Linked DNA regions of Arabidopsis thaliana. The protein of the gene in region 2 interacts with the protein of the main gene of each other region in a pairwise test. Each region holds a gene or a part of one and is shown on either strand. Other genes may lie near its edges.

What was found.
Region 1: the proteins of HTA9 (region 2) and CDPK2 interact in binary tests that used the Arabidopsis thaliana proteins (3 or more experiments, as listed by UniProt).

Annotation. Positions count from the first base shown.
Region 1 is NC_003070.9:13,203,202-13,208,874, forward strand, and holds CDPK2 (calcium-dependent protein kinase 2), read left to right. Parts: upstream 1-2,143; 5' UTR 2,144-2,254; coding exon 2,255-2,795; intron 2,796-3,484; coding exon 3,485-3,628; intron 3,629-3,717; coding exon 3,718-3,870; intron 3,871-3,968; coding exon 3,969-4,084; intron 4,085-4,155; coding exon 4,156-4,323; intron 4,324-4,406; coding exon 4,407-4,631; intron 4,632-4,716; coding exon 4,717-4,857; 3' UTR 4,858-5,088; downstream 5,089-5,673. Other genes in the region: RPL21C (Ribosomal protein L21), read left to right, coding at 5,576-5,673. UniProt on the Arabidopsis thaliana protein: May play a role in signal transduction pathways that involve calcium as a second messenger. Functions as a regulator of the calcium-mediated abscisic acid (ABA) signaling pathway. Phosphorylates ABA-responsive transcription factors ABF1 and ABF4 in vitro.
Region 2 is NC_003070.9:19,643,213-19,647,168, reverse strand, and holds HTA9 (histone H2A protein 9), read right to left. Parts: upstream 1,934-3,956; 5' UTR 1,761-1,933; coding exon 1,653-1,760; intron 1,245-1,652; coding exon 948-1,244; 3' UTR 684-947; downstream 1-683. Other genes in the region: AT1G52750 (alpha/beta-Hydrolases superfamily protein), read left to right, coding at 1-177, 268-384; AT1G52730 (Transducin/WD40 repeat-like superfamily protein), read right to left, coding at 2,191-2,432, 2,659-2,798, 2,894-3,031, 3,142-3,317, 3,682-3,763, 3,869-3,956. UniProt on the Arabidopsis thaliana protein: Variant histones H2A are synthesized throughout the cell cycle and are very different from classical S-phase regulated H2A. May replace conventional H2A in a subset of nucleosomes.

The DNA.
Region 1 (5,673 bases), 6.4 Mb from region 2:
ATATGGAATACATGGAGAATTTGATTTTGCATGATGAAAAATAGTCAAAACCAACATATATAATCGAAAGAGACTACTTCCTAGGCCCTAGCAATAATTTTATTCTTTTGAAGAAGTCAAGATTCGATACCTTCTTTTAGTTCACGAATAGCGTTATGGCGATAACGTTAATCTCTCGATTTCAAAACGTGTTCCTGAATTTTTCTAATGATATTGTTTCTCTTATATTAAATCAAATAGAGTATATACTTTATGCATGGTTTACTTTACTACAGTTTTCTTTGGTTATAATTTATTGGACCATAAAAAACTAGATAGAAATAATACAACTGGATACAGAATCACAAGTTTCCATAATGAACGCAAAAATTAGAATGAGACGTGTAGATAAAATGGGTCCAAGTCATGTAAACGTGTTCAGCATTATCCACTAGTCTTCTCTTCGTACTACGACCCCAAACCCCACTAGCCTACACCAATCAAACCTACACCAATCAATTATAATATTTTGTCAGACGAGCTTTATGCCAATCTAATGGCTAGTTGAGTGTTTTCTTTTCAAGGTTTGTTTATTGATTCTAAAACTTGGGCCGCCTGAAGTTGAATTTGATACAACAAGCCTTGGAAAATAAAAAGTAATGTTTAAAAATCACAAAACATATGATGGTAAGATATTACTTAGCATTATACACTAAATAACCAAATTGTGAAATTTTATTTTGCAAAATAAAGTGGTGAGAAAATTACAAAATAAATAGGTGTTGATTTTTCGGATTGTTTAAAACAAATACTATGAGTTTTTATCGTGTATTAAACAAATACTAGCTTTTAATTTATCTGATGATACATTATTCTTAAATACAACAATCCACTTATTTATATTTTCACCACACCATATTTTAGCAAAAATAAATTAAATAAAAAATTGTATATCCTAATTAACTCATATGTTTTACAAGAACAAAACACAATACTATTTTTATACGTTCCAAAACTTTGTATTATAATTATTTTAATGTTTCTAAAGTTATAGCAATGTGACTAATGTAACATAAAAAAAAAGAGATTTATATCCTAAATTTTGCAATGTCACTAATTAACAAAAATAAAAAATATGAGAAATTAAAAAATGAGATTTATATCTAAAGTTTTGCAATGTCACTAATATAAAATTAACAAAACAAAAAAAAGGTTGATTTTGGTTTTTTATGTATGTAAAGTTAAAGCAAGTTAAACTAATGTGATATTAAAAAAACCAGGACTCAGAATCCCGCGATGTCGCGGAGGAAATATTCTAAATATGTTTATATAATGATTTAAAAAAAAACAAATCGCATATTATAAATTTTAGTAATTATTTAAAGAATATATATATATATATATATGTATATATATATTAAACAGATTAATAACCGTCAATAATTTTACAAAATTTTGCAATAAAAAAAAGATACAGACGAAGAAAAAAAACTCGTCAATATTAACAAACAATTACGATAATAAACAAGAAAAAAATAATCATCAATGTTTTAGCAAAAAATTGGGATGAAAACACACAAGCGGAAAAAATAACCGTCAATATATTAACCAAAAGTATCAATAAAAAGATATGAATGAAAAAAGGTAAGTTTCAATATTTCATTACACCATATTTTAGCAAAAATAAAATAAAATAAAACAACTATATATCCTAATTAACTCATATGTTTTACAAGAACAAAACACAATACTATTTTTATACGTTCCAAAACTTTGTATTTTAATGTTTCTAAAGTTATAGCAATATGACTGATGTAACATAAATTTAAAAAAAACAAATTAAAAAAAATTAAAAAATGAGATTTTTTTGTTTTAACATATTCTTTCCTATTTATATTATGAGGATTATATAGTAAATTTTGCAATGTCACTAATTAACAAACCAAATATATGTAATTAAATTTAGAAATTTTAAAATGAGATTTATATCTAAAGTATTGCAATGTCCCTAATATAAAATTACCGATTTAGAAATTAAAAAATGATGGTGTTTTTATTTATGTAAAGTTAAAGCAAGATAACTAATCTGATATTAAAAATTAACAAAACAAAACATATAAAATTAAATTAGAAAATAAACAAAATGTGATTAAAATGATATAAAGAGAGAGTCAAAAAAATTGGAGAAGAGGGAAGGAGCAACAAAGAAAAAGTCTGTTTATCATCTTCTTCTTCTTCAAATCGAGATCGAAGAAGAACCAACAAAAAACCAAAAATGGAGACGAAGCCAAACCCTAGACGTCCTTCAAACACAGTTCTACCATATCAAACACCACGATTAAGAGATCATTACCTTCTGGGAAAAAAGCTAGGCCAAGGCCAATTTGGAACAACCTATCTCTGCACAGAGAAATCAACCTCCGCTAATTACGCCTGCAAATCGATCCCGAAGCGAAAGCTCGTGTGTCGCGAGGATTACGAAGATGTATGGCGTGAGATTCAGATCATGCATCATCTCTCTGAGCATCCAAATGTTGTTAGGATCAAAGGGACTTATGAAGATTCGGTGTTTGTTCATATTGTTATGGAGGTTTGTGAAGGTGGTGAGCTTTTTGATCGGATTGTTTCTAAAGGTCATTTTAGTGAGCGTGAAGCTGTCAAGCTTATTAAGACGATTCTTGGTGTTGTTGAGGCTTGTCATTCTCTTGGTGTTATGCATAGAGATCTCAAACCTGAGAATTTCTTGTTTGATAGTCCTAAAGATGATGCTAAGCTTAAGGCTACCGATTTTGGTTTGTCTGTCTTCTATAAGCCAGGTTTGATTTTTCTCTTTTGGTTGATTGATTCATTAATCTTGCAATTGGTGTTTTGGTTTGATGATGATTTTTTCGTTGCTTAAGGGAATTTTGCTTTGTATCTTCATTGAGTCTTTGAAAGTTTATGTGTTGATTGGAATGATTCTGCATTTGTGTATTTTGGCTTGTATCTGTGATTCTTTGAAACCTTATTGTTGGTGGTTCATCGCCTAATTGGTTTTAGTTTACTCTTCAGGACAATGTCTATAAGGTGTAGTTAGGGAGCTTGCTTTGGTTAGTTGTTACTCATTGAGGAGTCTTTGAATGTGTGGATTGGAACTATTCTGCATTTGATTAAGTCTTTGGTTTGGTTTCTTGTAGAATCAGGTTATTTGTGTTTTCTATGAATCGAAAATTGAAACAAAGTGGTTTCTTGATAGAAACAGGTTTGTTGTGTTTTATATGGATTGCAAATCGAAATAAGGTTTTCGGTATGTATAGGTTTGATGATCTGTTTGGTTGGATTCAAATTTGTTACCTTCTTAGAGGGAACATTGTATTGATCGAAATTAATGTGTATAGATGTTCGTCATTGAGGAGTCTCTGAAACTTAATGTGTAGATCGAAATTATTCTGCATTTGTGTGTCTGGCTTGAACCTTCTCATTAATGCCAGTTTATCGGCTAATTGGTTTTTGTTTGCTTCTTCAGGACAATATTTATATGACGTAGTTGGAAGTCCGTACTATGTTGCACCAGAGGTGCTAAAGAAATGTTATGGACCTGAAATAGATGTGTGGAGTGCTGGTGTTATCCTCTACATTTTACTCAGCGGTGTTCCTCCCTTCTGGGCAGGTTAGTCTACTAAAAAAGTAGAGTCTTTTCTATTTACAAGTTTCGAGTTTTTGTTTGAATGATGTATTCTTTTCTCTTGGGCATTGCAGAGACTGAGTCTGGAATCTTTAGACAGATATTGCAAGGGAAGTTAGATTTCAAATCTGACCCGTGGCCTACTATCTCAGAAGCTGCTAAAGATTTGATCTATAAAATGCTCGAAAGGAGCCCCAAGAAACGCATTTCTGCTCATGAAGCCTTGTGTATGTTCATTCTTTGTTGTTCATTTGGAATTAGCAACTGTTGTGAATTGTTTTTATGGTAAATAATGAGTATTGAGTTTGCTCTGAATGTTATATAGGTCACCCATGGATTGTCGATGAACAAGCAGCACCAGACAAGCCTCTTGATCCAGCAGTCTTATCTCGTCTAAAGCAGTTTTCTCAAATGAATAAGATTAAGAAAATGGCATTACGGGTATGAATTCGAGTAATATACATTCGCTTTTTCTTTATGTCCAATCCGTATGCTGATTTCTCTGAACACAGGTAATTGCTGAGAGACTTTCAGAGGAAGAAATTGGAGGTCTGAAGGAATTGTTCAAGATGATAGACACAGACAACAGCGGAACGATTACTTTTGAAGAGCTCAAAGCGGGTTTGAAGAGAGTCGGATCTGAACTGATGGAATCAGAAATCAAGTCTCTCATGGATGCGGTATGAAAGAACCAAAACAAACTCTTTCCTCTTTTCAAAAACTTTTGTTTCCGTTTAACATCCTCTGTGTGTTGTGGTCACAGGCTGATATCGACAACAGTGGTACAATAGACTACGGAGAATTCCTAGCAGCAACCTTACACATGAACAAGATGGAGAGAGAGGAGAATCTGGTGGCTGCATTTTCGTACTTTGACAAAGACGGAAGCGGTTATATCACCATCGATGAGCTTCAGTCAGCTTGCACAGAGTTTGGTCTATGTGATACACCTCTGGACGACATGATCAAGGAGATTGATCTTGACAATGTAAACCACTCTTCTTCTTCTTCTCTTTGTTTACCTCCTTCTTCAATGTTACTTTACTATAACCGAGAGCTTTTGAATTATGTAGGACGGGAAGATCGATTTCTCGGAGTTTACAGCAATGATGAGGAAAGGAGATGGAGTTGGGAGAAGCAGAACCATGATGAAGAACTTGAACTTCAACATTGCTGATGCTTTTGGAGTTGATGGTGAAAAATCTGATGACTGACTCATCATTCTTCCACAATTTCTGTTTTTTTTCTCTTTAATTTCGTTTATATTTTGAATTCTAATTTCTAAGGATACAAAAATATATTCTGGCTTGTTTTTTGCTTTCCTTTTTATTTTTGTACATGAGCAACTTTCTAAATTTTTATCCTCATATGGATAATTTTTGCTTCATATAAAAGTTTTTGAATTCCAAAGAAATGTGATTTAGGGATGGCGAAAAGAAACCGAACCGAACCAAAATCGGATTTCATAAGTAATTTTGTTATAATACAAACTGTGAAACTGTAGAAAATTCTTATAACAACCCAAACCAAATCTAAATTCTTATAACAACCCAGACCAAATCTCAAATTGAAACCAAATTTGGTGAATTTGTAATTAACCAATATTCAGAATTAATATAACTAATTAAATATAAAGTACATTTAAATACACTAAACACTATAAAGAGATTAAGAGTAGTTAGAATTATAATTTTTGTCAAAAATCGAACAAAACCAAAATTGATGTGTATATAATATATTACTTAATTGGAAAACCCAAAATCTGAACCGAAATAAACCGGTAAACCGAAATTGCAAGCTTAGAAATTAAACCAATTTGAAGACAGGGGTACAATGGTAATTTTCAAAGGAAGTGGATAGGATAACACTGCGGATTTATTCTCCGTCGAGCTCCAAAGTCTCGAGCTTAGAGCTCTCTCTCAGTCGAAAACAATGGCGTCTTCTTCAGCGACGCTCTCTCTCTGCTCTACTTTCTCTGCTCATTGCAATGTCAATTCTCGCCGTTCTAGCACTATCCTCTGTTCTCTCTC
Region 2 (3,956 bases):
GATGAAGCACTCAATGAGATAAGCAAGTTATCATATGAGATGATACTTTCACCTCAAAACGCATCAGCTCTTGTAAAATCCATAGGAGATCTTCCAGTTTTAGTTGTTGCCGGAGCTGAAGATGCTCTTGTTCCTTTGAAATCTTCACAAGTTCTGGCTTCAAAACTCACTAATTCTGTAAGTTTCACCTCCTCTCTCAACAAGACTTTCATAACTTAGTTTCTGCTATCTTGAATCTAAGTCTATGTATTTTGTGTGCGCTCACAGAGACTAGTAGAGATCTCTGGTTGCGGCCATCTGCCACACGAGGAGTGTCCTACAACACTTGTTTCCGCTCTCGGCTCCTTCATTTGCAGACTGATACCTAAACTACCAAACTCCTAAAACCACACAAGACCATCTCAAAGAAGAGTTTGATGGAAACATCTGCGAGAACATCAGGAGCTCTCTACACAAGAATACGATTTTTCGTGGTTCCATCCATCAGCGTAAATCAGGCATCAGTGTATTCTTAAAGGGATTAAAACTCCCACCAGATTTGCTACAAAGAACTTTGCTTCAGAATCACATCGACGTCAACTAGGCCAAGTGAATATTATCAGCCTAATTTTCTTAAACACAAACCTGTGATTTTTACTTATGTATGATGTATATATGAATTCTATTTAGAGATAATACAAATCCTTCCCAATGAATTTGCTTTCAAGCTTCTCCAGCGAACAAACCAGCAAGGTAGGTAGTCAGAAATGGTTTTTGGATAATCATTCGAATACATTTTTAAAGATAGATAAATCGACTGGCGTCTCTAACACAAAGTACGCTGATCGAACGAACAATAGCAAACGATCCTAAAAAGAGCTTCTCTAGCATCTTATCAAACAACAACTCTTAAAAACATTTAGAAAACAGAAAAGCAACACAGAACAAAGCGGGTAACTAAAAAAGTCCTATTCCTTGGCGGATTTGTTGATGAGACTCTTGTGGATATGAGGGATGACTCCACCACCAGCTATAGTTCCTTTGATGAGAGTATCGAGCTCCTCATCTCCACGAATCGCAAGCTGCAAATGCCTCGGCGAGATACGTTTCACCTTCAAGTCCTTGCTGGCGTTACCAGCCAACTCCAAAACTTCTGCAGTCAGATACTCCAATATTGCTGCTGTGTAAACAGCTGCAGTTGCTCCAACCCTTCCATGAGCAGTGGACCTTGTCTTTAACAGACGATGCACCCTACCAACTGGGAACTGCACACAATGTAAATTCAATTAGCCACAACAATGGAACCTAAATGAATACTCAAATCTCAATTGCTCCCAGAAACATTTCATATATGACAATAAATCTCTACAAAAAAAACTCCGAATTCAATTCACAAGGTAGCTGTAACAACAAGACTCCGTGAAATCAAAGATCGGGTTCAATATCAACCATAAAAGCTTAATGAAACAATTCTCCAGCAGATAACACAATAGAAAACCAAATCTCGCATCCCAATGTCTCTAATTCTCAGCTGAAATTACCAAATCTAGCTCAGAATCTCATCGATCTACCACTTAAACGCGATCTACTAATCGTTCAGGTGTATAAGACCATTTCGATTCCCAAAGAAACAGACACGGAAGACTTAGAGTGTGAGGGAGATTATAATCTACCTGGAGACCAGCTCGAGAAGAACGAGTGATAGGCTTCTTCTTGTCCTTATCCTTGTCGCTACCGCTGGGTTTCCCCATAATCAAACCTTTAGCACCTTTCCCCGACATTTTCCCGCCAAATATCTCACAGTAAAATCCTTGGAGATTGAAAGAGAAAGGAGATCGCACAACCAAAGATAAAAAGAGAGAGAAGAAGATGAGCTCGAAGAGGAGTCTCCCGATAGACGTTTTCCCCAGATAGAGAGAGACAAGTCGGTCTGTCAAATGACGATTTTACCCTTATACCCCAACCTGCGAAAAAAGCCCAAGCCCAATCTAAAGTCAAATAATCATAAATCACAAATTCGTCCCTAAATTTAGTTCAATATTGAAAAAGACACTTGAAAGAAAACTATTAAATTTTAACACCCATGTTTTGATTCAAAAGAAGAGAGGGAGATCTTTGTTTGTTTTCTCTGTATAATCATTCAGTCTGGAAACAAAACATAGCAAATCATGAACTAAGACATATAGAGGCTTTTTGTACGCTCAGTTTAGCTTAAGTATCAGATGGTTTCTCTGCGGTTTTTCCTTCTTTGTTGATGTGAAAGCCTTCAATCTTCTTTGAAACTTCATCCACGCTATGCTTCACTCTCCTCGAGCTAGTTTCGTTCTCTTCGGGATTTGCTGGTGTTGTTTGCCAGATTCTGATTGTCCCGTCTTCAGATCCCGAGGCATAGGATAAACCAGTGGGAGTAAACCTAACGCAGTGTACTGGACCGTGATGTCCCTTGTTGCATCCTAAGTTTCAGACACAAATGAAACAATCAGAAAACCAAAACCTCGCAGGAGCTTAAAGAACCATGCTTCAAAGATCTATTAAGCTCTTCACTCATGGAGTTTATAACAGAGTCAGAAACTCCAATTAAGCTTGAAGCTATCTGGAATTTAACTTGGACGACAAAAAGGTAATATGACAGTGTCTGATTTGGAATATGATAGCATAGATGTTTTGAAAGTCACTTACCAATCTCTTCGCCAGTGTAGAAATCAAACACTCGGACCCACATATCCTCTCCACCAGCAACAAATTTTTCACCAGACTTTGGCTCCAACGATGCAGATTCAATATTGCAGGGCATGTCGTAACTCTTCACTAGTCCAAAACTTGGAAGAAAAAGCAAGGGGCAAAGATGGGGTTTGAGCAAGATACAAAAGGTAATTAGAAAATATTTGATTCTCTTCCTAGAATGAGAACTTACTGGTTAGCGTCCCAGAATTTAACAGTTGACCCATCAGCAGTTGTTATATACCGTCCATCTTGGCTCACTTCAGCACTGGTGACAGGAGACTTAGTTTCTAACGTTTGCACAATTTTCCCACTCCTCACATCCCATAACCTGTATAAGATAGCAGTAGAGGAGACGGAAAAGCAAACAAAACGTCTATCAAACTATGCCTTTTTATGTGCGACAATGTGTATTTAGTCTGTGTCTTGTTTAGTTCATACCTTACACCGCCAATATCAGTACATGAACTTAATATTGTTTGATCACTGTGAAGCCATGTGAGGGTTCTGATAGAACCAGGAGATTTATCAACTTCTGTAGGAGGTGCATCCAACCGATTCATGTCAAAAACACGAAGAATTTTCTCAAACCCTCCTGTGAGCAACGATTTTGTATCCTAGTGAAAGAAAAATGTCATTCAATTAGTGACGATGCATAAAAGCGGATCGACACCATCCACAAACAACAAATGTTTAAGAATAGTCCAATCTGAAGAACAATTTCACTATCACCTAATTAAACAAATCCTCAAAGCTTTTTACTTAAATTCCGTGCAGTTGCCTGAATAAGAGCTATTACATAACAACCTGCCCACAACCGATAATCCAAAACACAGAGATACAAAAGCTTATGCCTATAAAGACAAAACAGGATTAAAGTATTTCAGTAGATAATTCCAATTCTTTTAGCCTACCATCTTACAAAACCCCAGTTGACCAAATCGAGAATCTATATGGAGAGAGTAAATAGGTTGAACGAACCTCTGAGAAGGCGCATGCTCGGACAATATGCTTGTGCTCAAAAGAATGCAGCACATCCCCTGTTAACGCATCCCAAAGTTTGCTGAACAAAACAAGATAACAAAAAATTGGATAAATGTGCTGTATCTAAGAACATAAAACATACGCAAATAATGACTTAATGAACCAAAAAAAATTAAACACATACGCTGAAAAATCGGCAGAAGCAGATGCAGCACGTAATGCATTGTTATCCAGACAAGAACTCCAAACTGCACCTTTATGCCCTTCAAATG